Caenorhabditis elegans: one gene and its partners. The protein of the gene in region 2 interacts with the protein of the main gene of each other region in a pairwise test. Each region holds a gene or a part of one and is shown on either strand. Other genes may lie near its edges.

Evidence for each region.
Region 1: the proteins of rpsa-1 (region 2) and M01E5.3 interact in a two-hybrid assay, tested with the Caenorhabditis elegans proteins (one large-scale study listed by BioGRID).
Region 3: the proteins of rpsa-1 (region 2) and gakh-1 interact in a two-hybrid assay, tested with the Caenorhabditis elegans proteins (one large-scale study listed by BioGRID).

The regions. Positions count from the first base shown.
Region 1 is NC_003279.8:13,277,912-13,290,561, reverse strand, and holds M01E5.3 (RNase NYN domain-containing protein), read left to right. Parts: upstream 1-4,062; 5' UTR 4,063-4,222; coding exon 4,223-4,457; intron 4,458-4,998; coding exon 4,999-5,639; intron 5,640-6,325; coding exon 6,326-6,788; intron 6,789-7,862; coding exon 7,863-7,987; intron 7,988-8,044; coding exon 8,045-8,108; intron 8,109-8,154; coding exon 8,155-8,238; intron 8,239-8,822; coding exon 8,823-8,893; 3' UTR 8,894-9,671; downstream 9,672-12,650. Other genes in the region: M01E5.4 (uncharacterized protein), read left to right, coding at 1,022-1,268, 1,318-1,616, 2,400-2,606; M01E5.2 (Mitochondrial ribosome-associated GTPase 2), read left to right, coding at 10,406-10,649, 11,402-11,471, 11,525-11,636, 11,687-11,794, 12,061-12,131, 12,195-12,392, 12,643-12,650.
Region 2 is NC_003281.10:4,747,720-4,755,793, reverse strand, and holds rpsa-1 (Small ribosomal subunit protein uS2), read left to right. Parts: upstream 1-1,742; 5' UTR 1,743-1,747; coding exon 1,748-1,880; intron 1,881-1,952; coding exon 1,953-2,215; intron 2,216-2,262; coding exon 2,263-2,364; intron 2,365-2,411; coding exon 2,412-2,744; 3' UTR 2,745-2,787; downstream 2,788-8,074. Other genes in the region: rbg-3 (Rab-GAP TBC domain-containing protein), read right to left, coding at 1-106, 152-385, 429-925, 977-1,085, 1,132-1,175; B0393.8 (uncharacterized protein), read left to right, coding at 3,424-3,470, 3,515-3,615, 3,663-3,916; VB0393L.2 (uncharacterized protein), read right to left, coding at 5,508-5,761, 5,809-5,909, 5,954-6,000; col-89 (Nematode cuticle collagen N-terminal domain-containing protein), read right to left, coding at 6,662-7,453, 7,505-7,603.
Region 3 is NC_003284.9:5,779,049-5,789,180, forward strand, and holds gakh-1 (Protein kinase domain-containing protein), read left to right. Parts: upstream 1-4,356; coding exon 4,357-4,498; intron 4,499-4,546; coding exon 4,547-4,774; intron 4,775-5,104; coding exon 5,105-5,260; intron 5,261-5,302; coding exon 5,303-5,397; intron 5,398-5,443; coding exon 5,444-5,672; intron 5,673-5,733; coding exon 5,734-6,099; intron 6,100-6,148; coding exon 6,149-6,400; intron 6,401-6,705; coding exon 6,706-6,810; intron 6,811-6,962; coding exon 6,963-7,102; 3' UTR 7,103-7,407; downstream 7,408-10,132. Other genes in the region: sft-4 (Surfeit locus protein 4 homolog), read right to left, coding at 261-405, 872-1,183, 1,230-1,537, 1,596-1,664; F46G11.6 (ZP domain-containing protein), read left to right, coding at 7,480-7,648, 7,796-7,968, 8,024-8,164; F46G11.2 (uncharacterized protein), read left to right, coding at 9,115-9,181, 9,237-9,334, 9,925-10,022, 10,078-10,132.

The DNA of each region.
Region 1 (12,650 bases), on a different chromosome or scaffold from region 2:
GTGTCATCTTGACCCAAGTGCACACACACACTCGTACAGTGGCGAATCAATGAGAATGACATACTTTTGAATTTAAAAAGATGAAATATGTAGATTATAACACCAGAAGACGAAGAGTTAAACCGAAAATGAGGAAAGGAACACAAATTCATATTTAAAAAATGAGGTATTTTACGATTAAATAAGTAATTCGCTTCAAATAGGTTTTCAAGAATCTTAGAAATATATTGCTCCACATACCGCGTTCTCACTGTGCTAAATTTCATCATAATTAATAATTAACACAAAACACAAAAATTACGCGGTTTTTGGGTAAATTTGTACATTTCGGCATCAAAATCGCACCAGAAAATTCAATTTCACCTACGAAAATCATCGAAAATCACTCAAAATTCATTACAAGCAACAGGATTTGAAAATAATCGATATCGAGTTTTTTGAGGCGTTCCATCAGAAAAATGTCGAACATGTTCACTTTTTTCACAAGTTTTCGATGAAAATCACTAAAATTTTAGGCACAAGTGGAGAAAAATACGGGGAATTCGATAAAATAAACGAAAATACGCAAAAAATCGGGCGCAGGTGCCCCAGAAAGGGTCCAAAAAACTGCAAAATCTGTGGTGTTATTTCGTGCCAGACAGTGAGGCGATGCGGTCGCGTCGCGTGCTCATGTGCGGTGGAGCGAACATGCTGATCAGGTGTTCGTGACGATTTTTTGCGAGTTCCCAACCGATTTTCGAGGATTTTTTTTTTTTCTGTTGAAATTTAGAATTTTTATTTCAATTTAAACGTTGAAAATTTTATAAATTAAAGGTGAAAACTATGGAATACATGAAAAGTTCTCATACACCCAATTAAAATCATTTTTACCCTTAAAACAATTCTTGATTATCGATTAAAACTAAACGTTTTCCCACTACATTTTCGTACTTTTCCTGCAATTCCAAGTGTATTTGAAGCTTATCAGTCAGTATTCTCCATTCGTACCGAAATTTCCCCTATAATTTTCTTATTTTCAGTAATGACGCGACCACATCAGCCAAGAATAGACTTAAATCACGGATTTCTTCGATTTATTAGACGCAATCAAGTTGATCGCGATGAGTACAATCGAGTACATGAAGAAAGAAAATCAGAGATTCGCGAACGAATTGGCAGCAGTGATAGTTCACAGGATGGTGAAGAGAAAGCTCAGTCGAACGTCTATGTTCCGCCACACTTGAGAAGGCAGAAAAAGGAAAATGAAGAGAAATTTTCAGCTTTGAAAGGTAATTAAAGCAAGTTTTTCCAGGAATATTCTAAAAACTCCATTTTCAGCTTCCCGATCACAATCCCAATCAGACACTGGTTCAGAAGAAGGCGAAGGAGCATCAGGAGGCGGTGAAGCCAGTTGTCCGATTCAACAGAAACAGAAAGCATTTGATGAAAATGTACGGAGACAAGTACGCCGAAGAATCGAACGAACTCACCCGACAGTCGATGATATTTGCATAGTATTGGCCAATTATAGCCTTCAGGAAGCCGCTTCAAAAAATTCAGAAAATTCGAATGAAGACCTTTTCGAGTTGGTTTTGACGCTGAAATCCGGAGAACAGAAGACGATTGGAGTGCCCAGGGTACTGCTTTACTGCTTCACCACTGGTTAGAGGGGAAAAATAAAAAATCTCATGTTAATTAGTTTTTCCCGTTATTTTTTGATATTCCCATCACTTATTTTTCGGTCGGTTCGGTTTCATCACGAGTTTTTGGATGAAATTTAGTCTTAGACCCCCCCCCGCCGCTTATCAAGGTGATACGATTTATGGCTTTTGTTCCCCACTACGTGAAGATACTGTTTTTAAGAAAATCGATAGAATATTTCGATTTTTTTGTGGTTTTTTGAGTCAAATTCAAGGTTTTTTGGGCTTAGTTTAGGTTTTTAAAAACCAAATGTATAGAGTTTAAGCCAAAACTAGCGGTTTTAAAGTAAAAATTGCGATTTTACAGCTAAATTTAGATAATAGGGTTCTTAATGCCAACTTTTGAGAATTTTGAGCTTAATTTAGGGTTCTTGAGACAAATTTAATAGTTTTAAAGCCAAATATAGAGGTTTTATAGAAAAATGTCGAAATTTTAAACCAAATTCAGGGTTTTAAATACAGATTCAGTGGTTTTAGCCAAGTTTACGGTTTTGAGCTAAATTTACAGTTTTGAAGCCAAAGTTAGGGAGTTTTAAGGGTTTTCAAACTAATTTAGCGGTTTCATACCAAATCTAGGGGTTTTAAAGCCAAATTATGCATTATTTGTGCAAAATTTAAAGCTTTTAAAACAACATTTTGGCTGTTTTAAACCAGTTTTACTAGTCTAAAGTCAATTTTTGAGATCTTATTAGCCAAATGAATAAATTAATTTAATTTCAGAACACACAAGCCGCCCGTCTCGCGAAGTCTCTTTCCCGCGAACATCATTTTTCGGACTCCCAATGCAGAAATTTGCGAATTTTCATTGAAGAGCAACTCGAGCTCCGATTTGCTCGTGAGAAGTCAACTGCCACGTCATCAGATGCATCGATTCCCGGCTCTCCGACGTCTTCATCGGAATCATCGATTATAGAGTTTTCTGCTTGAAATATCAGAGCTTTTTGTGTGACTGTGTTACTGTGTTGTTGTTGATGTTGCTCGGCTTAAAATATTTTAATGTAATTTTTAAATTTGTGTTAAGAAAAAATCAAGCTCTTTTTATATTCACTTTTTAAATTCAAGTTTTCTGTTTCTCTTTTCTCTGTCGCTCTCTTTGTCATTTGTTCTCGATTTCCCTGTTTTCTCGTCATTTCCACATTGACTGGTGCCGTTTTTTTGTACTTTTTATGTCGAAATTAGGCAAATTTTAGGCCTGTGATCGTGTTTTTTCTCCTTCTGTGTTTTTTTTCGATATACTCGCGCCATCATATCGATTTTACTTCTTCGGTTTCCTCTTTTTTCGAATTTATTTTAATTTCAAATATTAGTTGTAATGAATAGATTGCAAGCTTTTCGGCCGCCACCTAGGGCGGCCATTTTTTTTTTTTTTTTGAATAATTTTTTCGTCGTTTCTTATCGACTTTTTCTCAAATATCTTTGCACTTTACCGTTCTTTTTTTTGCGTTTTACCCCACAATTTTCGCCTTATCGCACTTGTTATCGTCCTATCATGACCACACTTTTTTCTCTTTTTCACGAGATTTTTCACTCTCTGTTCCCTTTTTTGCCCAATTTTTCCCCTCTGCTGCAAACGACGCTCCAACATTACGGCATTTGTGTGTATGTGGTGGAGACGACGAGAGTGACACTCATGTCCTCGGCCTCGCGGTTTTGCAGGAATTGATTGATTTTAGGGTGGCAAATCCTTCGACTTTGTGTAGAATTTGGAGAAAATTTTGGAAAATAACTCTAGAAATTGTCAATTTTTCCATTTTGAGCTCACGTTTCTTTAAATTTCTGATAATTCCACTTTTCCCGATTTTTTTTTTGGCTCCTCGTTCTCGAAATTTTTCCTCGATTTTTTAAAAATGGGTCTCGCTGCGAAAAAGTTTATTTACCTGTCTTAAGGTATTAATTTTTCTCACATTCCAAATGGTATTATTCAAACGCGAGATTGTGCGGATGTCTGTCACTCTCTAACTATCTACACTCTCTGTACCGGTAATACTTGACTTTTAAAAATCGTTAGAAAAACTATAAAATAAAAGTTCCACAATCAACGAGAGTTTTAAGCTACAGTACTCTTTAAAGGCGCACACATTTTTCCATTTAACAATAATTTTTGACGTTTCTAGACCGGGTACTGTAGTTTTGAAGCAAAAATAATAAAGAAAAAAGGCTTCTTAATAGTATTTTGTAAGAAACAAAAGCAGCAATCTTCGTGATGTGCTACCATACGAATTTTTCGCGTCGAGACCCATCCGATCAATACACCTATGCGCCTTTAACAATACGTACGGTTATCTATCATCAATTTTTGCCCTCTTTTGTTATATTTTTCTCTAATTTAACCACCTTTTTCTCTCAGAAACCTCAATTTTTTCCATTAAAAATGTAATATTTCAGGACCCGTCGGTCGGTGAGCTCCTCGCCAAACGTTTTTCATCATTCCCAACATAATCATTGCACCGCCACAGCCGCCGCCGCCACCACCGCAACCAGCACAACAAAATCATCCGTTGGTGGCACGCCGAACAGCCAGCGATCAATCATCAGTGACACCAATGACGATGGTCAAGACGCTGGTAGCGTTGGCTACAGAACGAATGCTTCTGAAGACGAGTGGGCCGACGTTTCTTCGAGGAATTGAGTTTATGTATGCTGCTGGGCTGGCACCGGATCGGCTATCGGTTATGATGACGTCATCACACAAATATGTGCTCCAATTTCACTCGAAATGCGACATTCGACCATTTGCAGCAAACTATCCGAATTTTGGAAGAGTTCTCAGAGGCATTGGTTAGTATTTTGCAAGTCTGCGAAACCTTTGTTGCACTGGACAATAACAATTTTAAAAAATTGAATTCTAATGAAAAATCGTGACTTTCAGTCATTTTGAGCTTAAAATCAGTTAAAAATCTGATTTTTAGAGAATTTTGTGTAGAAAAATGTTGAATAGCAGCAATTTTCAGCTCGAAAATCACTGAAAGTTGTTTTTTTTTTAATTTTTCGGTAGAAAAATGTTGAATTGTATCAATCTGAACCTTTAAATAAGTGAAAAATTGGATTTTTAGAGAATTTTGGGTAGATAAATGTTGAATTTCATCAAAAGTTTAAAATTATTAGAAATTTAATTTTTCGGTGATTTAAATACTAGAGAATCAAGAATTTTCGTCGAAAATTGGAAATCCTCGTGGAGTACACGAGCCTGCGTAAATCGACACAAGAAATCACATCACAGATTCGAAAAAAGTCTCGTTAATTGGCGTTTAAAAGTTAAATGCAAAAAAAATTATGATTTTTTCTATTTTAATATCCTTTAAATTCGATTTTTTTTCAGTGCACGTCCGTGAATGGCGTATAAAATCGATAGAATTTGTGAACGTTGCATTCTACATGCGTGATGTCGACAATCTTGAACGTGCCATTGAGAAGCTCGGCGTCGAGTTGGTACTCCTCCGAAATTGCACATATCCGGGAGTTCAACGTGGCGATGAAGCGGTGAAATTCCTGTCAGCACTGAATCGAAAGAAGCAGGCAGTTGTATGTGAATATGGAGATGATCGACTGAAACATCGAATTGGTAGAAGATCAAGTGGAAATCGAACACGAAGAGCCAGCAGGAATGGACAAGAAATTGTGAATCCAGCAATTGCTCCGGGAGCCGCGGCGGCCGCCCAGCCGGCATTAGAAGCTGCTCCAGCGGCACCTGCAGCAGGAGCAGCAGCTCCAGAAGCAAATGCACCACAAGCAGCTCCGCCAGGCATCAGACGTCCGATTCCACTCAATCCAGATCAAGCTCGTCATATAATTCCCCAGCTTTTGAATCCAGGAGGTGCTCAGCCTGCTCCAGTTCAAGATGGTCCAGTCCGTGGGCCGCCAGGTATCATCAATCAAGGAAGAGTCGTAGTTGGAGCACATGTCTATGAGTTCCGAGCTGCTGATGTGCCCAATGCTGATGGAGTTCCCGCTGTTCATAATGTGAGGGAGTGGATCAGTGAAAAGAAGGCGGAGCATTGTTTTGCAAGACTGCGGCGCGGTTTTTCGTTTTTTTTTTCGGAAAAATGCGAAAAATAGCGAAAAATTAAATTATGTTCAAATTTAACGCTTTTTTTTCTTTTTTTGGCGATCAAAATCAGTGTTGAAACCGAAGAATGCGGATTTTATTTTAAAAAAAGAATTTTTTTGCCAAAATCGCGTTAAAAAAAGAACTACGGAAAAAAAAGTCTAAAATTCAGGAAAACCACAAAAAACAAGAAAAATTGCGAAAAAATGAAAATCCAACTTTCAAAACACCAGTTTTCAATTTTGGCTCCATATTTGAATTCCCTCCAAAATGTGAACTCCCCAACCAATCAGCATCTTCGAGCTCCTCGATTGGTCCAAAAGTGGGCGGAGCAAGTCGTTAATTGGTCGGGGGTTCTCATTTTGGAGGGAATTCAAAATTCAGCCAAAATTGAAAAATCACTTTTTTAGAAGTTGGATTTTTGATTTTTCAGCGGTTTTTCTCCTTTTTCTTTGGTGGTTTTTTTTGAATTTGAGACTATTTTGGATTTTTTCTTTGAAGCAAAACGATGCTCTGCCTTGAAAAATTGCTATCTTGCTGGCTACACCACTGAAAAAAAGTTGAATTTCCATTAAAAAATTGTAAAAAAATTAAATTTCAGATTAACCACCTCCTCAACGTACTCAATGAAAATGCGGGAAATGACGTCAGAGTGATTGTTCTGCCCAGCCGAGTTGGTGAAGGACTTCCGATTCATTTCAACAATAATGATCTGATATTCCGTCATCAAAGTCGACCACAACCTGCTCCACAACAAGCTGCTGCTGCTGCTGCTGCCGGAGCTGCTCCTGCTGTAGCAGTTGGAGCTGAGCCACTACCACAACCAGATGATGTACAGATTGCTCCGATTCCAGCAGATGAGCGGCAGGCACGGTATGCACGTGTTCAAGCACGTCTCGGACATATGATGAATGCGAGAATGCGGCAGAATCAAGAAGATCAGCAATATTATTACGATCAGCAACCGCCGAATTTGATGGTTGTTGGAACGGCTCATGCACATTATCGTAGACACATGAATGCACAAGCTCATCAGCAACAAAGAGAGCCCAGTTGGAATAATTGTGAGCAAGATATGAGAATTCTTGCGAAAAATACGAAGAAAAATGAGAAAAAACCCGAAAAAATGGGATTAAATATCATTAAATTAATTATTTTAATCAATTTTAGCTTTTTTTTATTTTTATAATTTTTCAAAATTTAAAATTTATTGGAACTGTTTTACAAATGTTATAAATTTCACCTTGTAAAAAAATTTCTTTAAAAAATTGATTTTTCAATTAAAAGAAATAATTCTGGGACATTTTACAAAAAAAAATTAGAAACTTCATAAATTTTTACACCAAATTGTAACAAGAATTCAAAAAAAAGACGGCATTGGTTGTAAATTTTAAAATTTATTCCAGAAACCTCAAAAAACCCCCAAAAAACCACATTTCATAAGGAGTTCTTGTGAAAATGCCGAAAAATGGCTAAATTTTCAATTTTTAGCTGTCAAAAATGAGTTTTTATTCAATTATCCCCCATTTCTCACATTTTCAATCGATAGACACCAATATTGTGCTCTTTTGTGCACCTAAACTACCAAAATGTGAAAAATATGGTGATAATTGAACAAAATTGGAGATAAAAGATAAATTAATTTAAATATTTGCTCTAAGAAATTTGAAGTGACCCTAAAAAAATTAAACTTCAACATGAGACTTGTAGAAATGTTCGAAAAGACGTAATTTAGGCTTTTTTCGAACATTTCCACAAGTCTCATGCTGAAGTTTTATTTTTTTTTACCTTTTAGAGCAAAAAGTAGAATCAATTTATAGCTTTATTTTACTCATTCCTAATTTTATTCAATTCACACCATATTTTTCGAATTTTGGTAGCTTATGCCGGTAGGTGCATAAAAGAGCACAATTTTTGAGCATATCGACTGAAAATGCGAGAAATAGGGTAAAAATCGATTAAAAACTCATTTTTGACGACAAAAACACGGAAAATTTGGGACATTTTGCGATTTTAGCCATATTTTCGCTAAAACTCCTTATAAAATGTAATGTTTTGGTGGTGATTTTGAGGTTTTCAGAATAATTATTACAATTTTCAAACAATTTTTCTAATTAAAAATTTATTATATTTTCCAGATGCAGTTGCAAATGCTCCTCCAGCCATAATTCAAAGAAATCTTGATGCTCCAGCTCCAATGTTCGGTGTCGCAGTAAATGAGCCACAAGTTCAACGGAATGGCGATGATTCGAATGACTCTACGGTATTGATTTATTGATTTTTTTTTAATTTTCTAATTCTAATTTCTCAATTTTTTCAGGATCGAGAAGAGATTTACGACGCCGAGCAGCAGAGACAAGAAGCGTTGAGAGATTTGGTGGCTGGTAAGAGCTTAGATTTTTGAAACAAAATTAAATAATTCTTCGAAAGTTTCAGATCCAGAAGCTCAACCAAATTTTGCGCCCGTCGAAGCACAGGCTGTAGATTTGGATATGTTGGAGGAAGAAGGAGAAGGTACGTTGTGTACTACACGAGGAGAAACTTTTTTTTTCAGATTTTGGATGAATTTTTATATTCTCCAAAATCCGAAAAATCCAACAAAAATTTATTTTCGCTTCCTTCTCTGAATTTTTGTTGGCTTTTGATCCGAAAAAGCAAAAAAAAAATTTGACGAAAAACACCAAAAAATGAAACAAAAAATCAATTTTTTTACAAAAACCGAAAAATTGTAATTTTAGACAAATAAAAACCAAAAAAGAAACAATTTTCTACCAGAAACTTTTAGAAAACCAATTTTCGACATAAACTCCGAGAAAAACCAATTTTTGATTTACAAAAAAAAAAACCCGAAAATGCCAATTTCTTACTAAAACTAAAAATAAATAAATAAAAATCCCATTAAAAACTTTTTAAAAACAAATAATCAAAAAAAAAACCAATTTTCGAGAAAACAAACCCGAAAATATCAATTTCTTACAAAAAACCCATAAAAAAATTTTTAAAACAAAATTTAAAAAAATTTCGGTTAAAAAATGTATGCCAAAATTTTAAAAAAATCTAAATTGATTAAAAAAAATAATATCTCTCCAATTTTGCAGACGATGAAGTGATGGAAGTAGGAGGAGTCGACGGACAATTCATGATGGATGGCCGAGCAGTTATGGAATAGTTTTCCCTCGTCCACGGCCACAATCACCTCTTCATTCAACAACTAATCTTTCTCACTAATATATTCTTGATTTTCCCCAAATAATCCCATTTTCTTCTTCATCTCCATTGAATTTTCACGTATCCGGGTAGTATTTAGGATATCATTTCGTTTCAAACCAGTCCCCCCACCACTTTTTTTTTTTTGAAATCTGAAATATTCAGATTTCCCCTGTTATTATTTAATACTGTCACAGTCATTTCTGTACCTTTTTTGAAGTTTTCGCACTGAAAATTTTCCAATTTTTCATTAAAAATAGCCCAATGTGTCGTCGTTTGTGCCTTTTCGGTCCTCCTGTTTTTCTCGAAAAAAAACCCGCTTTTTAAAAACTTTTCTTCATATACTAAAACTTTCAGTAATCCCAGTGTGTGTTCTCTCTTATTCATTTTTTCCCACCAATTTTCATACAAATTTGAAATTGTACAGAATTTTCCCTTTTTTCCTTTTAATTCTTAATGCTAAAATCACTTAATTTTACCCAAAAATAATTTACCATGTCTTCTCTAATTCCCTGTCTCTCTCTCTCTCTCGCTTGATTCACAGTTTGACGTACTCCGCCGAACAATTTCGCTTCTTTTTTTGTTGAAATGTTTTTTTTTCACACCTACATAGCCTATAAGCTCCAATTATTGTGTCTCTCAGCGGCTTATTTGATATATTGTCCACAATATTTCTCGTGTTCCTTCTCCTTCTCGCTGACTTGGAGATTTTGTTTTTCCAATGAAAATGTATTTTAAATTACTTTCAAACGAATTTTTTCAAAACAGTAAAATTTTCGATGGTTTTCCATATTTTTCCCAGAAAAATCGCTAATTTTGATGAGCATTTGAATTGCCGCGCGCTCATTCTTAAGCTCCGCCCATTTTTCCGTGCCGCATTTTCCAGGTTCGGCGCTAATTTTTCGATTAATTTCTTTATTTTCTAGTGAAAAAAAAGGATTTTTGTGGAAAAATTTCAGCCAAAATCCGAAATTTTCTATTTTTTCGGTTTTTTTCGGAGAAAATCAAAAAAAAAAATTATTTAAAAAAATAGTCGAAAAATGTCTTCAAAAGTTGAAAAAACATTAAAAATTAAAATTTTTCCAATTAAAAAAAAACCAAAAAAGTTTCGTTTCTCGCCATTCCGAAAATTTCGAAAAGTGCGGCACGGAAAAGTGGGCGGAGCTTAGAGACAATAAAATTTTATTGATTTGTTCATTTTTTTCATGGATTTTACATTAAAATTCAGTTATAAAATAAAAATAAAAATAAACAAAAAAAATGTCTTCAAACGCTGCAAAAATTTTTTTTCGCCTTTCTGAAAATTTCAACAAAATTCAAAGTGCTGCACGGAAAAATAGGCGGGGCTTAGAGACAACTTTTTGAAAAAATTATTGATTTTTTCATTTTTATATAGATTTTACATCAAAATTCATTTATAAAATTGAAAAAAAATTCTGCAAAATTAAATTTTAGAAAAAATTACTGGAAAAAAATGCGAATTTCCCTGCAAAAATGCTCCAAAACCGCGTGCTCCGTCCTATCAAAACGTCCAATTTTATCGCCGAAAAAGCCGAAATCCGAAGGAGAAGCCACTTCATTTATTGATTATCGACGTGTTAGATGTCAGGCTGGAAATGGTGGAAATGGAATGGTTTCATTTTTTCGTGGATATCGGAAACCATTTGGTGGTCCAGATGGTGGTGATGGTGGACATGGGGGACATGTCGTTTTTCGAGGTACTTATTGCATGCTGAATTATTGGAAAAGCACGAAAAAATCAATTTTTTCAACGAAAAACTCAACCAACTTGGGTCTCGCCACGAAAAAAACTTTTCAGCTACAGTAACCGCAATTTTTGGGATTTCCTTGATTTTTTACATAGTCCAAACTTGTTAAAATTTGAAATAAAAATCAAAAGTGAGTTAGAAAAAAAATAAGCGGGTACGGTAGCTGATTTTCGTGGTGGGACCCGAGACTGTGAAAAATTGATTTTTCAGCAAAAATTTAATAGAACACCGGTGAGCATTCAAGAAAATTGTGAAATTTGGTTTTTTTTCATACGAAAAAAAAAAAATTCAAAAATGGAAATACGTTTTAGTCGTAAATTTTTCATTTTTGAGTGAAATTTTACAATTTTTTAACTCTAAAATTCTGCGGAAACCGATATTTTAACACATTTTCACCTAAAATTTCAAGATTTTCCACTAAAAAGTAGTCTTTTTAACAGTTGAAGTGAATTTTCACAGTTTTTTGATTAATCTTCCGTAAATTACGTTCCATGGTAAAATTTTATAAAATAATAATGAAAAATTGAAAAATGTATAGAAAATTCAATTTTCAGTCAAGCTTTCTGATTTTTAATATAAATTTATTTCAAATTTAGCGCGAAAACTTTGCGATTTATTGAGAAAAATTTAAACTTAGAAAAAAAAAGTTTTTAAAAATTAATTTTAAAGCTACAAATTCTAAAAAAAAATCAAATTTTCAGCCAGTCGCAGTAGTAAAGATCTCTCGACAGTTCACTCAATCGTACGGGCTCAAAATGGAGAATTCGGCAGGTATCCGGCTACCACAAAAAAATCGTAAAAAATCTAATTTCTACATTTTCCAGATCAAAATCATGTCACGGAAAATCAGCAGACCATAAAGAAGTTGAAGTACCTCTTGGTACCGTATTCAAAGCTGATGGGAACACAATTTTTGAGTTAAACAACGAAAATGATGTGAGATTCTCTCGATGGAGCGTACTTACAACATTCAACACTTTTTTTAGATGTTCATTGCGGCACGTGGCGGAGTTGGAGGACGTGGAAATCAGTTTTATGTGTCGAATGAGGTCCGAAAACCATTTAAAGCAGAGTATGGAGGAGAAGGAGAAGAGGTTTTGTTCATATCTCTTTTAATTTCAGTTTGTAGTCGATTTGGAGTTAAAATTCGGAATGAGCGTAAAATTTTGGATCGTAATGATGTGCGACATGACCAGAATAGGCCGGGCCTGCTTTGTGCCTACTTCATGCCTACAGCCTGCCTACCCGTAGGCACAAAGTAGGCATCGGGCATGTCGCACATCGATCCGGGCCTAAATTTTGCGCTGATCCCGAACATGCACTCCGAATTGGGCGAAAAATTCAAATAAAATTTTTTCAGCTAATTTACGACGTGGAAATGCGAGTTATGGCGACAGCAGGCCTGGTTGGATTCCCGAATGCTGGAAAATCGTGAGTTTTTCTGGAAATTTCATATAATTTTCGCGACGAGACCAAAATGTGCTCAATTTTCAGTTCGCTGCTCCGTGCAATTTCCCGAGCCAAACCGAAAGTCGCCTCGTACCCATTTACAACGCTCCACCCGCATATTGGTGTTGTATTCTATGAGGATTTCGAGCAAATCGCGGTTGCCGATATTCCAGGGCTCATTGAGGATTCTCATTTGAACAAAGGGCTCGGAATCTCTTTTTTGAAGCATATCGAACGATGCGAGTAAGGGAACATTCACTGTGTCGATTTACGCAGATCGTGTAGTCCTCGAGGATAAGATTTAGGCTGAAAAACTAGATTTTAGCCTATTTTGGCTCAAGTTCAAGTTCAACAGTAAATTAAACATGTACCAATTCTAATAGTTAAAAAAAAACTGTGAAATCTTTTCCTCGTGGAGTACACGAGCTGAGTAAATCTACAAATGGTCGTGTTCTTCTTCCATGCTAAAAGGTTAAACATATCGTGTTTTCAGATCCCTGT
Region 2 (8,074 bases):
GCATTTGGCTAATGGGGCAATTGGCCGATCAATCAGAAGTACATCCCATAGAAAAAGCAAATCGTGTAGAGGAAGTTCTCGGCCAAATAATAAGCGAAGCCAACGACTGTAAATATTTTAATTAAATATTTTCAAAAATAAAATAACTCACATTCCATAAAGTTGTGGTGGTATATCAAGAGTACTAAGATGTTTGGCAAGGGTGGGATCGATTTCGTGTAGAAGATTTCCAATATCAATTAGATCTTCCATCAAACGAGATGCAGGAGCGGAATCTTGCACCCTCATGTACGGTTCCTTTGGAATTGGACGCTTTGGACTCTCAGTGACTGTTGGTTCTTCATACCATCTTGATACTTCTAACATCACCGAACAAAACAGATTACTAAAAATATATTATCAATAATGATTGAAATTTATTCACTCACTAGCTATCCTGTTCGAGGTATTCTTTACAAAATAAGCAATTCAAAATATCTTCTTCTTCCACCGTTAGCATTTTCAACTCATCATTCTCTTTTGCATGTTGAAATGCTTCATTGTCCGAATATATCACGAAAATTAGCGGTGCCAGAATTTCGTGCATTCCTTGACGATAATTTACAAAAGGATGCTCCTTTGCATAAACCAAAAGAATATCTGACATCATTTGCCGAATACTTGTGTTTTGAAAGAACTCAATTTCCGGAAAAGTTCGTGAAACATCTTTGCCGATAATGTCACGAAGATCATTGTCCTCGAAAAATGTATTCCATGGATTTTGCTCAATAGAGGCAAGTGGATTGTTGAATTCAGGATCTTGAGAAAACTTTGTATCGTGTGGGTCAATTAAATGATTTTCCTTGTGAGCTCGGTAAAGATTCCGACTACGTGATAAGCTTATTTCCCAATCACTTGTTTCATACGGCAAACATCGAAGAACAAGCTGTAATCAATTGACTTTTGAAGACTAATTTAGAAATGCCGAAACTAATACCCTCCAAACAGCTGATCTACATGAAGATGAACGCAAGGAGCCTGATGCAGCGACTCTTGCTAGGAGATCATCAGAAAGCTTATATTTGATTAGTGACGTCGCATCAAAGCTGAACACATAAATTCTTTAATATTTTATATCCCCATATTATGCACCTGAGAGGAATGAAGAAATTTGCTGATACTCCCGGTGAATTCATGTCTTGATGGTTGTGCGCATTGTGGTAATATCTGAAAAATTTCGAAGTCAGTTTTCTGATAAGGCAACAACTAATAAATTGAGAATCAATTTACCCTTAAGGAACGATGTTCGCTTCTGAATTTATTAATAAATTTTTCCGTAATTCAATTCAAAATTGTCATATTTAAGAAAAAAACATCAAAAATGACAAATTCAATATTTTAATTAATTTTTGCTTTCGTCGTAAATCTACACACGCGTCTCTTCCGTGCGAGAGTCCAAGCCAGCAGCCAAATTCGTTGACTGAGTATTCAACGTTTATACGTTGTCGGCAACGAGAAATAGGAAAATGCATCGGGAAATGTTCTTTTTTCGATTTTTTCCAAGGTTTTGACAAATTTTACCACGAATTTTGCTATGTTTTCAATTAAAAAATATGTTATTCAACTGTTTCTATGAGGAAAATAAGGCTTTGCATGTAATTTTCTTATTCAGCATAATTTTTAATTAATTTGAATTTTCTGTCCTAACGTTTATTTTGTTTTCTTGGTTATGACTGATCTGAAATTAATTTTTGAATTTTAAGGTAATATGTCAGGCGGTGCCGCTCATTCCGCCCTCACTGAGGAGGATGTTATGAAGCTTCTTGCTACCCAGGCCCATTTGGGATCCACCAATCTTAACTTCCAAATGCAGCAATACGTCTACAAGAGACGTTTTGACGGTTAGTTTAAAAAAAATTCAATTCATTTTTCTTGTGAATTATTTAATAAAATTATAACAATTATCATTACAGGACCAAATATCATCAACGTCAAGAAGACCTGGGAGAAGCTTCTTCTCGCTGCCCGCGCTATCGCCGCTGTTGAGAACCCAGCTGATGTCGTCGTTGTTTCGGCTAGACCATACGCCCAGCGTGCTCTTCTCAAGTTCGCTGCTCATACCGGAGCTACCGCCATCTTCGGACGTTTCTCTCCAGGATGTCTTACCAACCAGATCCAAAAGACCTTCAAGGAGCCAAGACTTCTCGTCATCTCTGACCCACGTATCGATCATCAGGTAAGACTTTTCTAAATAGTTGTTTTTTCTAATTATTTAAAATTTAGGCTGTCACTGAGGCTTCCTACGTCGGAGTTCCAGTCATCTCCTTCGTCAACACCGAGTCTCCACTCAAGTTGATCGACATCGGAGTTCCATGCAACAACAAGGTATATATTTAATTTATAAAAAATGTAAATATGTATTTGAATTGTAGGGAGAACGCTCAATCGGACTTATGTGGTGGATGCTCGCTCGCGAGATCCTCATTCTCCGTGGAAAGATCTCCCGTCAAACCGGATTCGTCCTCGAAGGAAAGGAAATCATGCCAGATCTTTACTTCTACCGTGACCCAACTGAGACCGAGAAGGAGGAGACTGGAGCTCACGCTGATGTTGCTGAGGCTCAAGAATACCAACAACCAACTGACATCGACTTCACCACCCAAGGAGGAAAGGTTGACGATTGGGCCGCTGAGACCGCTACCTGGACTGCCGAGACCAAGACCACCGAAGAGTGGGCCAACGCTCCAACCCAGTCTAACTGGTAATCAATTTGTTACAATGTTGGTTCTTTGAAATAAACCTTGTTAACTATGTTATGAGGTTATTGAACAAATTTATATATAAGAAAAGTCAACAGTTATTAAGACCATGTACAGGGACGGCGAACGTTTTAAAGAATTTAATGAATATTACTTGTGCCAATAGACGAGATTAAAATCGTAATCCCATTTTCCTCTTATGTAAGCTTTCAAAAATTACAGTAATGGGATGATGCAAGTGAATTTCTCGTCATTTCTCGACAATTTTTTTGCAATGCAAGTGTGCGGAGAAATGACGTGAAATTCGCAATTTCTCCGCATTTCTCGACATCCACACATACCGTAGTTGGTGACGTTGTTGGCGGCAAATCGCGGCGAGACCCGCTGTGTCGATTTACGAGGATATATCTAATGTTAGTTTTTCGCAATAAACTTGGTTTTTCTGTCGTTCTTGTTCAATTTTCGTGATCTTTTCGCAGTTTTTACTCTTTTTCATGTATATTTATTGAATTCAATATCGTACTTTTCAATTCTCTGCGCAGTCAAACGTCATTTTTAGTTTTATAGCTATTTTCGGTGGCTTAAAGAAAAAAAATTTAAATTTTCCTTTTCAGAGCTCGATATTGCTCCAGTCTGGAAATGATTTGTTGATGTCGTCAGCGCGATGAATTCCGTCACATAAAATATGTACAAAATCGTCAATAACGATCAGAACAAGATATTGGTCATCGCGTAAGTTCAAAAAGTGAATAGCTGGATTATGAATATAATTTCAGAAAGTCAAATGCTCAATCTCTGCGGAAGACTTTTCTACACTCGTGCCTTCCGAAAATGTCGCTCTCTCAGCCTTGGTCGCATAGTTTTGAAATCTGTCAAGGTATCCCGAATGGTTTTCGCTTTAGTTTCATTCTTATTAAATTATAGAACACAATACGCAGAAGCGCATCAGCTATTCACGGCTACATCGATCAATTGGACGTCTCCGTGTATTCCTAACAGATGATAACTCTATATTGAAATCAACAAATAAATTTATTAAAATGTATATTTTAGTATTTTCCACAGTTATCATGGCACAATCATACTCCTGGGCAAAAAAATACAACAGTCGATTTGGCTTGTTCATAGAAAGTCAGTACTTCCAAAATGTTCTAGCTCCGCAGGCAGCTGAAATATGAAAAACTTGTCAACTAAAAAGTTGTTAGAAATAGAATTGTCAACAAGTTACATAGTGTATCTTTTTGCCATCTTGCATGGCTGAGCAGGTAGGAGCGCCTAATTATGAGTCAAATATCACTAATTTTGACTGATGATATCTCCGTACTCTGCACAGAAAACAATAAACTATCAAACCTGAAACATGTTCCATAACAAACTGAAAAAGTTTGTAGTTGACAATTTTTTGATATCTTGCATGCCCGATGTGGGACATGACTTCGAAAAACTGTCATAGTAGGTAGATCAGTTAGAGGAATAGAGGTTTTTACAGTTTCTTAGTTTTCGAAAGCACCACATTTGGCAAAAAAGTACATAGATACAGTTAGGGAAACATATTTTTACAATATCTGATAAATATTTGACAAATTTTGAAAAAAAAATTTTGGATTTTTTTTAAAATAAAAAATCCAAAGGGTCCCCCTTATGAAAATTTTCTAAAATTTTTTCGAAAAATTTTTTTGAAAACTTTTCTAAGTTTGTTCATATGTTATAGAAAAATGTAAATTTGAATGTTTTTTTTAAGTTTCGATGTTCAGAGCACGATTTCAGACGAAAACCTGGGGTTCAGTAGAACCCCTAAGTTCAAAAAACGCATTTCCTTTGGATGCGTATATCTTTGTTGAAAAATTTTTTCTGACAAAGTGATCAACTACAAAGTTGTTTATTTTAATCTAAAGTACAACTTTGTAGTTGATGGTTATTCTTCAAAAAATTTGATGGTCGATAAAGTTGTGTTAATTGCGGCAGTTTCATGCCTGTATTTTCTTCGTCTTTTTCTGTTCATATCTCGATCATCAAATTTTTTGAAGAATAACCATCAACTACAAAGTTGTACTTTAGATTAAAATAAACAACTTTGTAGTTGATCACTTTGTCAGAAAAAATTTTTCAACAAAGATATACGCATCCAAAGGAAATGCGTTTTTTGAACTTAGGGGTTCTACTGAACCCCAGGTTTTCGTCTGAAATCGTGCTCTGAACATCGAAACTTAAAAAAAACATTCAAATTTACATTTTTCTATAACATATGAACAAACTTAGAAAAGTTTTCAAAAAAATTTTTCGAAAAAATTTTAGAAAATTTTCATAAGGGGGACCCTTTGGATTTTTTATTTTAAAAAAAATCCAAAATTTTTTTTTCAAAATTTGTCAAATATTTATCAGATATTGTAAAAATATGTTTCCCTAACTGTATCTATGTACTTTTTTGCCAAATGTGGTGCTTTCGAAAACTAAGAAACTGTAAAAACCTCTATTCCTCTAACTGATCTACCTACTATGACAGTTTTTCGAAGTCATGTCCCACATCGGGCATGCAAGATATCAAAAAATTGTCAACTACAAACTTTTTCAGTTTGTTATGGAACATGTTTCAGGTTTGATAGTTTATTGTTTTCTGTGCAGAGTACGGAGATATCATCAGTCAAAATTAGTGATATTTGACTCATAATTAGGCGCTCCTACCTGCTCAGCCATGCAAGATGGCAAAAAGATACACTATGTAACTTGTTGACAATTCTATTTCTAACAACTTTTTAGTTGACAAGTTTTTCATATTTCAGCTGCCTGCGGAGCTAGAACATTTTGGAAGTACTGACTTTCTATGAACAAGCCAAATCGACTGTTGTATTTTTTTGCCCAGGAGTATGATTGTGCCATGATAACTGTGGAAAATACTAAAATATACATTTTAATAAATTTATTTGTTGATTTCAATATAGAGTTATCATCTGTTAGGAATACACGGAGACGTCCAATTGATCGATGTAGCCGTGAATAGCTGATGCGCTTCTGCGTATTGTGTTCTATAATTTAATAAGAATGAAACTAAAGCGAAAACCATTCGGGATACCTTGACAGATTTCAAAACTATGCGACCAAGGCTGAGAGAGCGACATTTTCGGAAGGCACGAGTGTAGAAAAGTCTTCCGCAGAGATTGAGCATTTGACTTTCTGAAATTATATTCATAATCCAGCTATTCACTTTTTGAACTTACGCGATGACCAATATCTTGTTCTGATCGTTATTGACGATTTTGTACATATTTTATGTGACGGAATTCATCGCGCTGACGACATCAACAAATCATTTCCAGACTGGAGCAATATCGAGCTCTGAAAAGGAAAATTTAAATTTTTTTTCTTTAAGCCACCGAAAATAGCTATAAAACTAAAAATGACGTTTGACTGCGCAGAGAATTGAAAAGTACGATATTGAATTCAATAAATATACATGAAAAAGAGTAAAAACTGCGAAAAGATCACGAAAATTGAACAAGAACGACAGAAAAACCAAGTTTATTGCGAAAAACTAACATTAGATATATCCTCGTAAATCGACACAGCGGGTCTCGCCGCGATTTGCCGCCAACAACGTCACCAACTACGGTATGTGTGGATGTCGAGAAATGCGGAGAAATTGCGAATTTCACGTCATTTCTCGTCATTTCTCCGCACACTTGCATTGCAAAAAAATTGTCGAGAAATGACGAGAAATTCACTTGCATCATCCCAGAATAGTTTTCAATCATTTTGGGAAGAATAGAGTGCTGAAAAGGTTTCTGAGTTTCTGGCATGATCCCTGAAGACTTTCAACAACATTTTTTAATGAGTTGCCCTTCTCAAATTCATTTCAGGAACTGGAGATTGCGTTTTTAAAAAGTTAAATGTTATGAAATTCATAAATTTTATTGATATCAGAATATTTAATGGGCAAAACGGTTGACAAAAACAGCTGATCTTGGAGGACATGGACAGTAAGCTGCATCGTTTCCTGGTAATCCTGGCCCTCCTGGGGATCCTGGCTGTCCGTCTGGTCCTGCATTTCCTGGAGTTCCATCTTGTCCTGGTGGTCCCTGTGGTCCTGGAGCACCATCGCTTCCGGCGCCTCCAGCATCTCCAGGTGGACCTCCTGGTCCTGGAGGTCCTGGTGGTCCAGCTGGCCCTGGCTCTCCCTTGCCCTTTTCTCCGTCTTTTCCAGGTGCTCCAGGTTCTCCATTCGGTCCCGCTTCTCCATTTGGTCCAGAATCTCCGTCTGGTCCAGGTGGTCCAGGTGGTCCATCTTTTCCAGCATCTCCTGGCGCGCCTGGTTGACCATCGGATCCTGCTGGTCCAGCTGGCCCTTCTGGTCCTGGAGGCCCGGCAGGCCCTTCTGGACATTTGACACATGAAGGATCTTTTGGTGGGCACGTGATAGGAGCAAATGTAGCAGTATTGTCTTCTCCTGGTGGTCCCGGTGGTCCAGCACTTCCAGGTTGTCCTGGCTCTCCTGGTGGTCCCGGTGGTCCTGGTGGACATACTGGTTTTGCAGGTTCACATTGACACCAAGCTGGAAGTCCGGAGAAGTCTTGTCTTTTCTGACGGAAAATTGAATTGAATGGATTCACACGTGGTTTTGATGGTGGTGTAACAGTGATTTGAATATCCATCATATCAGTCCAAGCAGCATCTGTCTCAATTCTGAAGACACTGACTCCGTCGAGTACTTCATCATGAACCTGAACATAAAAATATGAATAAATAAATTAAAATTAAATTTGAAAATTTACCTCCAAAATAGTATTGTAGAGTTGAGGAATAGTGATAACCATCACCAAACATGCCAACGTGGACGCAGTCGCAGCTACACCAACAATGAATTTCTCCATGTTTTGAGAAGAGGAAAACAGAAACTTCTGTTGAGAATCAGAATGATGACGTTGACTTATATACAAGAAGGCGTCAAGTGGATCCAAGTGAGAAGACACAAGTGGGCGGGTGTTTGAAGATGAAGGCGTCAAAAATAATGGGAAGAGGAAAAAAAGGGAAACACATTGTGAATGTGGATGAATGAATTAATGATGATTGGATTTTTCCAGTAGGAGAATCGGGATACGATGAGATGTTTCATATCCATTTTCAGATGATTTATTCCTTTTTTTAGTTTTCAAATATGTGAATAAAATTACAATCTGGCCTAGCAACTCGGGCTCGCGAGCTTATTAATATTAGCAGAAAGTACTGTACCGGTCTCGCCACGAACCAAATATTTTCAAAACGATGCGCCTTTAAGAAGTACAGTAACCCAAATATTATTTATCTTCGATTTCTTCTGTTTTCGGCCATAAAATTTATTTTGA
Region 3 (10,132 bases), on a different chromosome or scaffold from region 2:
AAGTTTTAGGGAAAGGAAGAAAATGACAAAAAAAAATAAAAGGAAATAGATATGAAGTTGTAACATTACGACAAGAAGCATTGGATGGGAAACCGAGGGAAAACGTTCTACTCTAAATATATTGATTAAAGGAAATATCGAAAAAATCGAAACAGATTCATAAATTATATAAACAATCCAGGTAAATTTATCGGGGTGAGTGAGTGTAATGCAATGATTTGACATAGAAATGCGTATAAGTACTGGTGTTAATGGGGTATCTACCATCTTTTCTTGTAGTCATCGACTGACACTCCTCCTGGTCCGTAGGCAATGACAAGGAGAAGTCCTCCAATGACGGACATGGTTTGGAAGAAATCGTACTTCATGAAGTCTCTGTAGAAGCGGTCGGAAGGAATGGTCCACCTGAAAAATCAATGTTTCAATTATGGTTAATCAAGCGTCAAATTGTTATAATTGGTTTTTTTGTTTTGATTAAAGTGGTTATTCAAGTAATTTTGCGAAATGTATTTTAATACATTTTTGACGTCACAGCTGTATTAAAATACAAGTTTTGTGTATTTCAATACAGTTGTGACGTCATTTTTCTATACTTTTTAATTTTCCGACACTACTTGAATAACATCATTAAGAGTGATCTGTTCTTCACTGCGGATCTGGGTGTCAATTGCACTGGCTAGTTATACACCCAGTGAGCTTTAGTTCGAGTCACACTTGAGCCCGGGACTGTGGCTGATAATCCAGAATCTAGAGGGAGCACTTGAACCAGTGACCTCATGATTGCTAGCGGCCACCAGTACCGACTGAGCTATCCCGATCATGTTGTGATAATTTCAGATTGTATAGTTTCGTTTCCACATCAAATACTTACCAAGCATTAAGCCAAAGGTTAAGTCCGAAGAGCCAGATGACAAGAACAATCGCGGAAAGCTTTGTCTTGTAACCAATTGAGACGAGAGTGATGAGAGCAAATCCAACAACAATCTCCAAAACTTGCATGAAGGACATCTCAAAATGCATCAAAGACATGAACATGAAGATAAGAAGAACACGTCCGGCAAGAAGCATGTACGATTTTGGCTTGTTCGAGTCTCCCATTGTTGGAACTCCGGCGAACAGGGAAGCCTTCTCTTCCTGTGTCTCGGCAAGAAGGAGCAAAAGTCCTCCACCAACGGCAATGTTTCTGAAATTTTACGTTTATTGCGAGTTCAAAGGAAACAAATGATTACCTGGCCAAGAACTTCAAGTCCCAGAGAATATGGTAAGCGATGGTTTGGAGAATGACAATGCTGGCAAGAATTCCACATGCGACCAACACCTTCTTGCGGAGCATGATCATTAAAACCGGGATGAACTGTCCGAAGAAGTTGTAGATGACGAACAAAGTTGCGATGAACCAACCGCAAGACCAAGACTCTTGCATGAACTGTTTTTGATCATCCCATTGGAAGTACATACGGATTCCATCTTCAAGGAATGTGGAGACGAGGCAGAGGCGAGCAATGTGGGGTAGGTAGGTCCTTGTTTTGCGGAAGAACTGAAATTCGCAAGTTTAAAGTTCATAGTTCATATAATAGTTTAGAGGTATTACGTACATCTTCAGCGGCGTCTTCTGCTTTCGCCAGCATTTCGTTCTGACCACCTGGAGCCCGGAACTGGTTCATTTTCCAAGAGCTGAAAAAATAGGTTTGGAAAAGTGTAGTGTAAATTAAGAAAAAAATCGGAAAGATGATAAGAAGTTGATAAAAAACGAGACGGGCGGTGACGACGAACAAAAATGCTGGAAGAGAATGAGTGGAAGAGAAGAATCGAAGGATTAGATGGTGGATTGAATGAATGACTACAAAATGGAACACGTGGCATGTGCACTTTACGAAAGATGTGTATTGCTGTCTGCGTCTCTCTTACGATTGACGCCAGTATTAGAGGTCAACGGATCAATAGTATCTTTTCCGAAACACTACACACAACTGTTTCGATTTAATATATCTTTTGTGTTCATTGAGAATAATAGAGGGACAGATCGGATTGAATGAAAATGTAATCAGACAAGATGAGATAACATGAGAAGAGATAACCTCTCATCAAAAAGGTTGTAAATACTATGGCAGTGGCGCATTAATTTAATGAACGAAGAGCTAACTAGTCTAGATGCTATCAAATATCGAGAGTAGTAGAGAAGACATTTATTGCCTTTGTTGGCGCAAGCAGCCTACGTAAATTTCCCATTTTCTGGGTTTTCTGAATTTCCAATGAGCCACCGCGGATGACGTATTTAACAACAAGTACACACACAAAAAATCGGATGACATATGAAAAATGGAAATTAAAATGAGAACAATCGTCGCCAAACATAACATCTCTCCAGGTAGGAGGAAAACCGTCAAAGCTGCACAATGTCAACACACAAGGCGGTCACGACTTTTTGTTTATCAAACTGGCCAACAGATGGCCGCGCCGATGAATGGTGGATATTTGGAACGGAATTGAAAATTTTTAAATCTTTAATGATACACGTTTTAAAGCTGGGTTTTAAGTGTATTTTGAGCAAACGTTGGGTTATCTATTTTGTTTTTAAAGTTTGACAAAAAGACGTCAGCTTTCGCTGAATACACTGGCAATGAATACACCGCGTCACGTCATCGTATACACAGAATTGATACTGAACTTGCGGAAATAGTACAGCGAAGTCATTGGGTAAATGAGTAATGTACAATAGAGAATGGAAATTATTCTTTATCACTTCCGCTACAGTTGTGTAAAAACTAAGCTAGGGAAAAAACCTTAAACTGGTTGAAAAAAGCGGTTCAAAAGTAAGAGTTTGGATGTCAACGGGCATAAGTGACGGGCGTTTATGTGAACGACTCTTTCCTAAACAGGTTTTCTCCGGACAAATGAAAACGAAAACATAAGCGACGAGAAAAGAAGGGGAACTGAACCGAAAGGGGCAAATGGAGGAAGAGGAGGCACACGAAATGTAGAGAGACCGCGTCGCAGCCGCACGCGAGCTGATGTGGTGGTTGTGGTTTGAAAATAGAAATGACACTCTCGAAAAGGAAGGAGAAAGAGAGTATATCACCGCTCCCGAGTATCACCACCTGCCAAGTAGGTGCCATTGAATTCAACCATTTTTATGAATGAATTATGATTTAAAATACATTAGAAGTTGAAGATAATCGAAAGACTACAGAAAAAACGCAAAAAAAGATAAAAGTAATGTTACATAAAGTTTTCGGTAAAACTGGTTGAGCGAAAAATCACAAAAGATGTTTGTTTTTACGAGAGCTGCAACTGGTTCCACGTTGTTACATGTTGTGAGGTAGCAAATGCGTCAGCAGCCACCACTTGGCGCGTTTCGTGTGCGTTCCCCCACACCAAAAAAGGGCGCATTGTATGCAACATTTGCGTTTTTTCATTGATTTTCCTAATTTATTACAACGTGAATTTATTTTTAAACAGAAATCAGTACACTAACATTCACAGTCTTGCAATAAATGCTGCACTGACAAACAATAAGTTTTGCACTGAAAAAAATCGTTTTTTGTCATTGCAAAAAATTTTCAGTTTGCTGTAAAAATTAAATGAAACCTTTAACCCGTTTTCTTATAAAAGAAAGTTTTAATTGTCTTGTTCAACAAAACATTGAAAATTTTCGCAACGATTAAAAAAGCAATAGATGTGATATGAACTTTTCTATTTAAAATTGAAGAACATTGTGTTAGTTTCTACTTTTTTTTTAACATCAATTATTTTTGATCAATGATCATTTAAATTATTGGCTTTCTTCAAACTCGCTCCAAGCAAATTAGCTCAATTTTGCCAACAACACATCCTCCGTTGCCAACCGACACCCCACTTTCGCTGCTGCTGCCCAAATACTCCGCTTCTCTCAGGATTTTTCGACCACGAGAGTACATTTCAGTAGATGCGAGATGGAATCTATCCTATTCCTGACAAATAATGTGAATTTCTTGCCGTTAGTCTTGCGCTAATGGAAATGTGTACTTTATATTCTATGCAGATGAAGCTTTAAAGATAGGAAGGCTTAAGCGTATTTCTTATTGATTGAAACGTGTAAAAACATCATTTGCAAATTTAGAATAATTTTTGAGAAGCAAGATATGTAAATTGAGAAAAGAATGTTCTTCATAAGTCCAATTCTTAATTTTGAAAAAAATTATGTTATAGATACCACCTGAGACCTTTGAATTAAATTGTAAATTGTACATTTTTATCCCTGGTCTTATACTTTTTCATATATTTTTTTCCTTTTTCATATTGATGCACCGCTCATAAAACTATCACATTTTATTATTTTTAATGCACTCATTCTACTATAAATCTGCAATTTCCAAGATGGCATTTGCCCGCGCTCTTGGTGTGATTCAATCTGTCGGTCGAGGCGCAGGAATCAGTGAGCAGAGTGAGCTCTACGATCGTGGTCAGACATTCAGCATTAACGGAAACAATTATCGAGTGGAAAAGGTAATAGCCAAAGGTTAGTGGCCATAAATGACAATTTTCGAAGAGAGCTTATGTTTTGCAGGCGGTTTTGGAACGGTGTTTCTTGCGACCAACACCAAGGGAAAACAAGTCGCCGTGAAGATCATGCTGAGCCACGATGCAGCCGCGACGAAGGATATTGATAATGAAATTGATATGATGAAGAAGCTCCAACACGAAAATATTATTCAACTGTTTGATGCGTCAGCTGAAAGCAGAAGTTCAAATCGGTCCGTGAAAGAGTACAAAATATCAATGGAATATTGCAAATGTGGGTTGAATTTTTTTTGTTGCAAACTCACTCTCAAAAAGTATATTGTTAAAGTGGAGTACCGAAAGAAATCGGCGATTTTGTCTGAAAAAAGACGCAAAATGGCCCAAACCTACCGAATTTTGTGTAATTTGTTATTACTAATTTATTACTTGTTGATTCGTTGATTGAGATGTTTTTCAGTCAGTTTTTTTTCAATTTTCAGAATGTCTCATTACAAAACTGGATAGTTTTGGGCCATTTTGGGTCTAAAAAAGCAAAGTCTCCGATTATGGTACTCCACCTTTAATGTACATACAATTTAATGTATATAACTAAATTTTATTTCAGTTTCAATTGCGGATGTGCTTCTCAAGTACAAAGAAGTCTCAATTGACTTTGTCGTTCGCATAATCTACTTTACAACAAGAGCCCTAGTATATTTGCATTCCGTCGGCGCCATCCACCGAGATATCAAAGCAGAAAATTTGCTTATAAACGGAAATGGTTGGTCTTTCGTTGCTGATTTTAGCTAAAACTATTTTTCAGGAAAACTAAAACTATGCGATTTTGGAAGTGCTACAACAAAGTCCATCGAGATGGCACCACTATCAAATTCCGAAAGATTAGCGGTTCAGGAAGAGGTCATTCCGAAATAAATTTTAAATGAAATTGAAATCTAATTTTCAGATGTTCAAATACACAACACCTATCACCCGATCCCCAGAAGTTTGTGATGTCTACTCAAATTGGCCTATCGGAAAACAACAAGACAACTGGGCAATGGGGTGTTTGATCTATTTTGTTGCGTTTGGAGAGCATCCATTTGATGGATCAGCGCTGGCAATTATCAACGGAAAGTACAAGAAGCCACCACCGGTTCAGCAAAACCAGTTATCAGCGTTTGCAGATTTAATTGGTAAGGAGTTTTCTGCTGGGCGTAAAAATAATAAATAAAGAAATATAAACCCAACTTACAGCAAAGTGTCTGACACCCAATCCGGATGAACGAATTACTGCTGCAAAAATTGAGGAATACATGAAACTAGCAATGCAGAAACAACCAAAACTAGCTGCAAAAACTGATTTCACGGATATACTCGATCTGATGAATGTTCAACCGGTACAAGCGGAGCAAAGTATCGAATCGCAAGCTGCAAAAGGATTCTTTACAATGCAGGACAAACTATTTTCCAATTTGACATCACTCAAAAATACAGTTGTACAGCAGACGAATAAAATGGGATGGGGAATGGAGCCAACAAATACTACACCACGCCCCGGGCACCCTTCAACATCTCCGAAGCTTGTGCCAAAAACACATAGATCAAATCAACAGCAAGAGAGTGAGTGAATGAATTGATTGAAACTTCTCTAATGCCAGTATATTTTCAGAAAACGCACCACCGAGACCACCCACAACAGCAAGCCCTCGTGCAGCCCCAGTTGCAACATTCAAAGTTTCATGGCCGACTGATAGTTCTCAGAATGATTCTGCAAACGATTGGGGAGACTTTAGTCAAGCACCGCCAGCGGTGAATGTTTCGAAAAAAGACGTATTCGATCCGTTTAGCGAGTCAGCATCACACAATTTGTCTGCAAAACATAGCGAAGATCTGTTATCCTTACAGAATTGGCCAGGAACTGGTAAGATTTAGGACACTGAAAACTGCGGAAAGCAATTGAACAGCAATTGAATTCCAAACGAATCCTATGTCATTTAAAAGGGGACCTTCAAACCAGATTAAAATTTTTGATGATTTGTACGGTGCTTAGATGAAGGCAATAAGGCTACTTCCTGTCAAAACTTGGAAACTTTCTCCCAAACATTCTGAATATATTGAAAGCTTTTCTGTGAAAATTTTGCAAGTGTCTGACAACATTATATGTTTTTGAGCAGCTACGAATAATTTCCAATATATTTCCCTATGTTAAAAATAATTTGTCTTCAGCTGAGCACAAACCAGAGGTACGATCCCAATCTTCACGAGACTTGTTTGACTTTGACGACCTGATGCTCCGACACACGACACCTTCCGCCGAATCTTCTCAAGCTGGTACGGTTTGTTCCTCTACGCAGTTATCATTTGCTATGTATTCATTTTGTTACAACCTCCTCTTCATGAATCACTAAATGATTCATCAAAGGAATCAGCCCAAACCAAATGATATCCTCTTTTCAAATCTCATTTCCTTTTTCCTTTTTCAGTTTTACAACCAATACGCCAAGTGGAGAACAAGAACTTGACCAAAGTCGATGTTTCAAAAAACGGAATTGGTTCGTCATCCTCTTCTGCCAGCCTGGATGATATGGTCAGCGATATGATGAAAATGTCAACCAAGAAATAGATTAAAATAGTAAAGTAGTTCAAAAATTATAGTTATTTATCATATTTTCACTTTCTTTCCCGTCCTGTGAATGTTTTGTACGAATTTTGCCAATAATTGAAAGATGGAAATGTACTTATAACGAGTATCTTCTTCTCTTCAATACTCATTTTATAAATCTTTCAGAAAAAAATCCATCCTCATTCCTTCATTTTTTTGTTTCTCTGTAAATAAAATGTATCCTAAATTATGCTTACTTCTTAACTTGTACATCAAAAAATTCAAATGTTTTATCGTCTACGAAAAGTAATAAATCAAGAAGAACACATTGTTCCGAACGCAATGACCTACTTGTATCGGGGTATCTCCAGAATGGAATGAATCGATCCAGCATACAAATGTCCAACCAACTTCTCGTATTCATACTTTTTCTTAGCGTTCTAGCGCCCACGCTATCCATCTATAAGTCAAAACAAAAACCGAACTTGTTGTCGAAAACTGTTGATAATAGTATAACGTGCGACTTTTCGATTCACAAAAAGGGACCTTATGGACAAGTTGTTTCAGGTATGCTTTAGTTCTGGTGTTTGAAAAAAGTTTCAGAAAATAACAAATTTGAATTTAAAAAAAAAAGAAGTTTGTAAAAAACTACAAACATATACAATGTCTGTCAAACAGCCTCTGTTATTGTTTCAAAAAGTTCAAAAATTTCAGGAGCATCTCTTGACGACGAGATTTACTATAAAATAAAGTGTAAGCCAATAACTGGAAATTGCCTCCAAGTTGTAAATTGCACATTGAGCTCGGATGAGCCAGGTTTCCAGCCATACCCTATTATTGATGATATGGGATGTAGCCTTGAAGAGTCACTGTTCAAAAATGTTCAGGTATCAAGAATTTAGGAAATTTGGAGAACAATATCTACAAAATGTCTATTTTCAGTATCCAAACCACTTTGAGGCGGGAATCTTCAATCCCTTCCCAATTCGGTTCCGTGCGTCGTCTGCCGCCGTTGTCTTGTTCTGTGTAACAACTGTGGTTCCAATTGAACATGGGCAGTGTACTCGCAGAAAATGTCAATAGATGAAGTTTCATGTTCATTTACTTTTCACTTCTGTGATTTTATTTAACAACTTCGATTTTAAATCTATGGTTATCTGGTGTTTTGTCATTTAAAACATTTTAAAGTACACGTTTTCATTGAATGAATAACATGCATATCACAATCGGAATTGTTTTTTTTTTTCATTCTCTCTGTGTACTTTCAAGCCAGACAAACATTACGCACGTATTCAGAAAAAAAGTGAAAAAAAAACGGTTTATGCAAATGTATCAGAATACCATGCAAACCAGCTGTAGTATTAAAAATTTGTTATATATATTTTTTACTTTCACTCTCTATCTATTTTTTTCTGTTTTTTGTCGGCCTTGAACTTGAACTACCTTTTTCCAATCATGAAGCAATGAAGCGAGCGTGGATTTTTTTGTTTTCCGCTGTGATTTGCTGTTTCTATCATCTCTATCCATGAATTGCATCACCGGATTGGAGGCGAAGTGTCCTACTATAACCGGAGTAATTCGATCGATCGATCAACCCTGCGCAAGCGAAATTTAGAGAATCTCCCTATGCGCTTGTTGAATGGAGATATATTAGAAATATGGTTGGAACACGCGGATGCGCAGACGAGTCTCGCAATTGACCGGTTTTTAGGAAAACTTTTCCCCCGCTTACCTCCGGACGTTCATCCTTAATACTGTTATTTCTAGAAGCGTCAGGCGACCTTTTCAATAAGTTCACTAAACATGAGTATGTCGCAAGGCGCATCATTTAATCACTTGATCCAGTCTTGGATCGTAGTTGCTTCATGCTTCATGACCCACCAAAGTGAAAGACTATATCATTTTATTCACCGTTTCTTATCATTTTCGTCTCTTTCTCACTAAATCGGTCACCGTGATCTTATCCTTAACCTCGTTCTTTATCTTTTCAATTAGGTGTTCAATTTTTTGTGATCACAAAGCCGTTTTTCCAGATGAAATGTTACTTACTTTTTCTGTTATTGGTACCTGTAGTATTATCAGAGCGAAGCAAAAGGCAAAGTAAGTTTTATTTTTAGCGTCCTTGTAAACCTAAGCAATCTTTCACAATTTTCAGTTTCAATTGATGACATTATATCCGGCGCATTAAGTCTCGTGAGACCGATCTTTGACACTTCAAAACCTATTCAAAACGAAGGAATGCTTAGAAAACCAGTGAGTTAAACCAGTAAGCTTAAACCAGTAAGCTCAAAATCAGAGTCAATTCCAGAACTGATCGAATTAGGTGATATAAATTGAATCACCAATATTGCCTGTAAGCTTCTTTGCAAGCTTAAACGGTGAGGTAAAACAATCTGGGAATTCGATTTTTAAACCCAAAATAGCTAGAAACCTCCGAATTTTGTAATGAGACGTACTCAAAATTCCTCAGAATTACTGAAGGCGGTTATAAGTACTGAAAAAATGACTGTTTTAAAATCTCCAATTTTGCAAACTTGACAAAATCAGAGCCTAAATCAAAAAACAGGACGTAATTACAAAATTACGCAATAAAAACTTACATCCACAAATGGTCGCGCAAAATTTCTAGTAAATCGAGTAAAATTTGAGATTTTAGTGAAAATTTACATTTTATTCAAAATTTAGAACCGCCATACCGTTTTTGAAAAAAATTTCAGAACGTCTTATCACGAAATTCAGTAGTTTTGAGCATTCTGAACTTTCCAATGCTTCAAAAATTTTGAAAATGACATACGCGAGCACGCGTAAAAATTAGTTCCAAATAATACATTGAAATTTTAAAGGACGCTCCAACTCAAGATGATATGCGCGACTCATCAATTTTGGGATCACACTCGAGAACTGCGTTAGATGATGTACCACTTTGCAAGGGGAATAGCAAGTAAGTAATTCGAATGTTTTGGAACTTTCATTTTTTTTTATTTTGGGAATTTCAGTATTTGCCGATTCATTTCGTGTTCTGCTGAAAACTTCAAAAAAGATCCGACATTT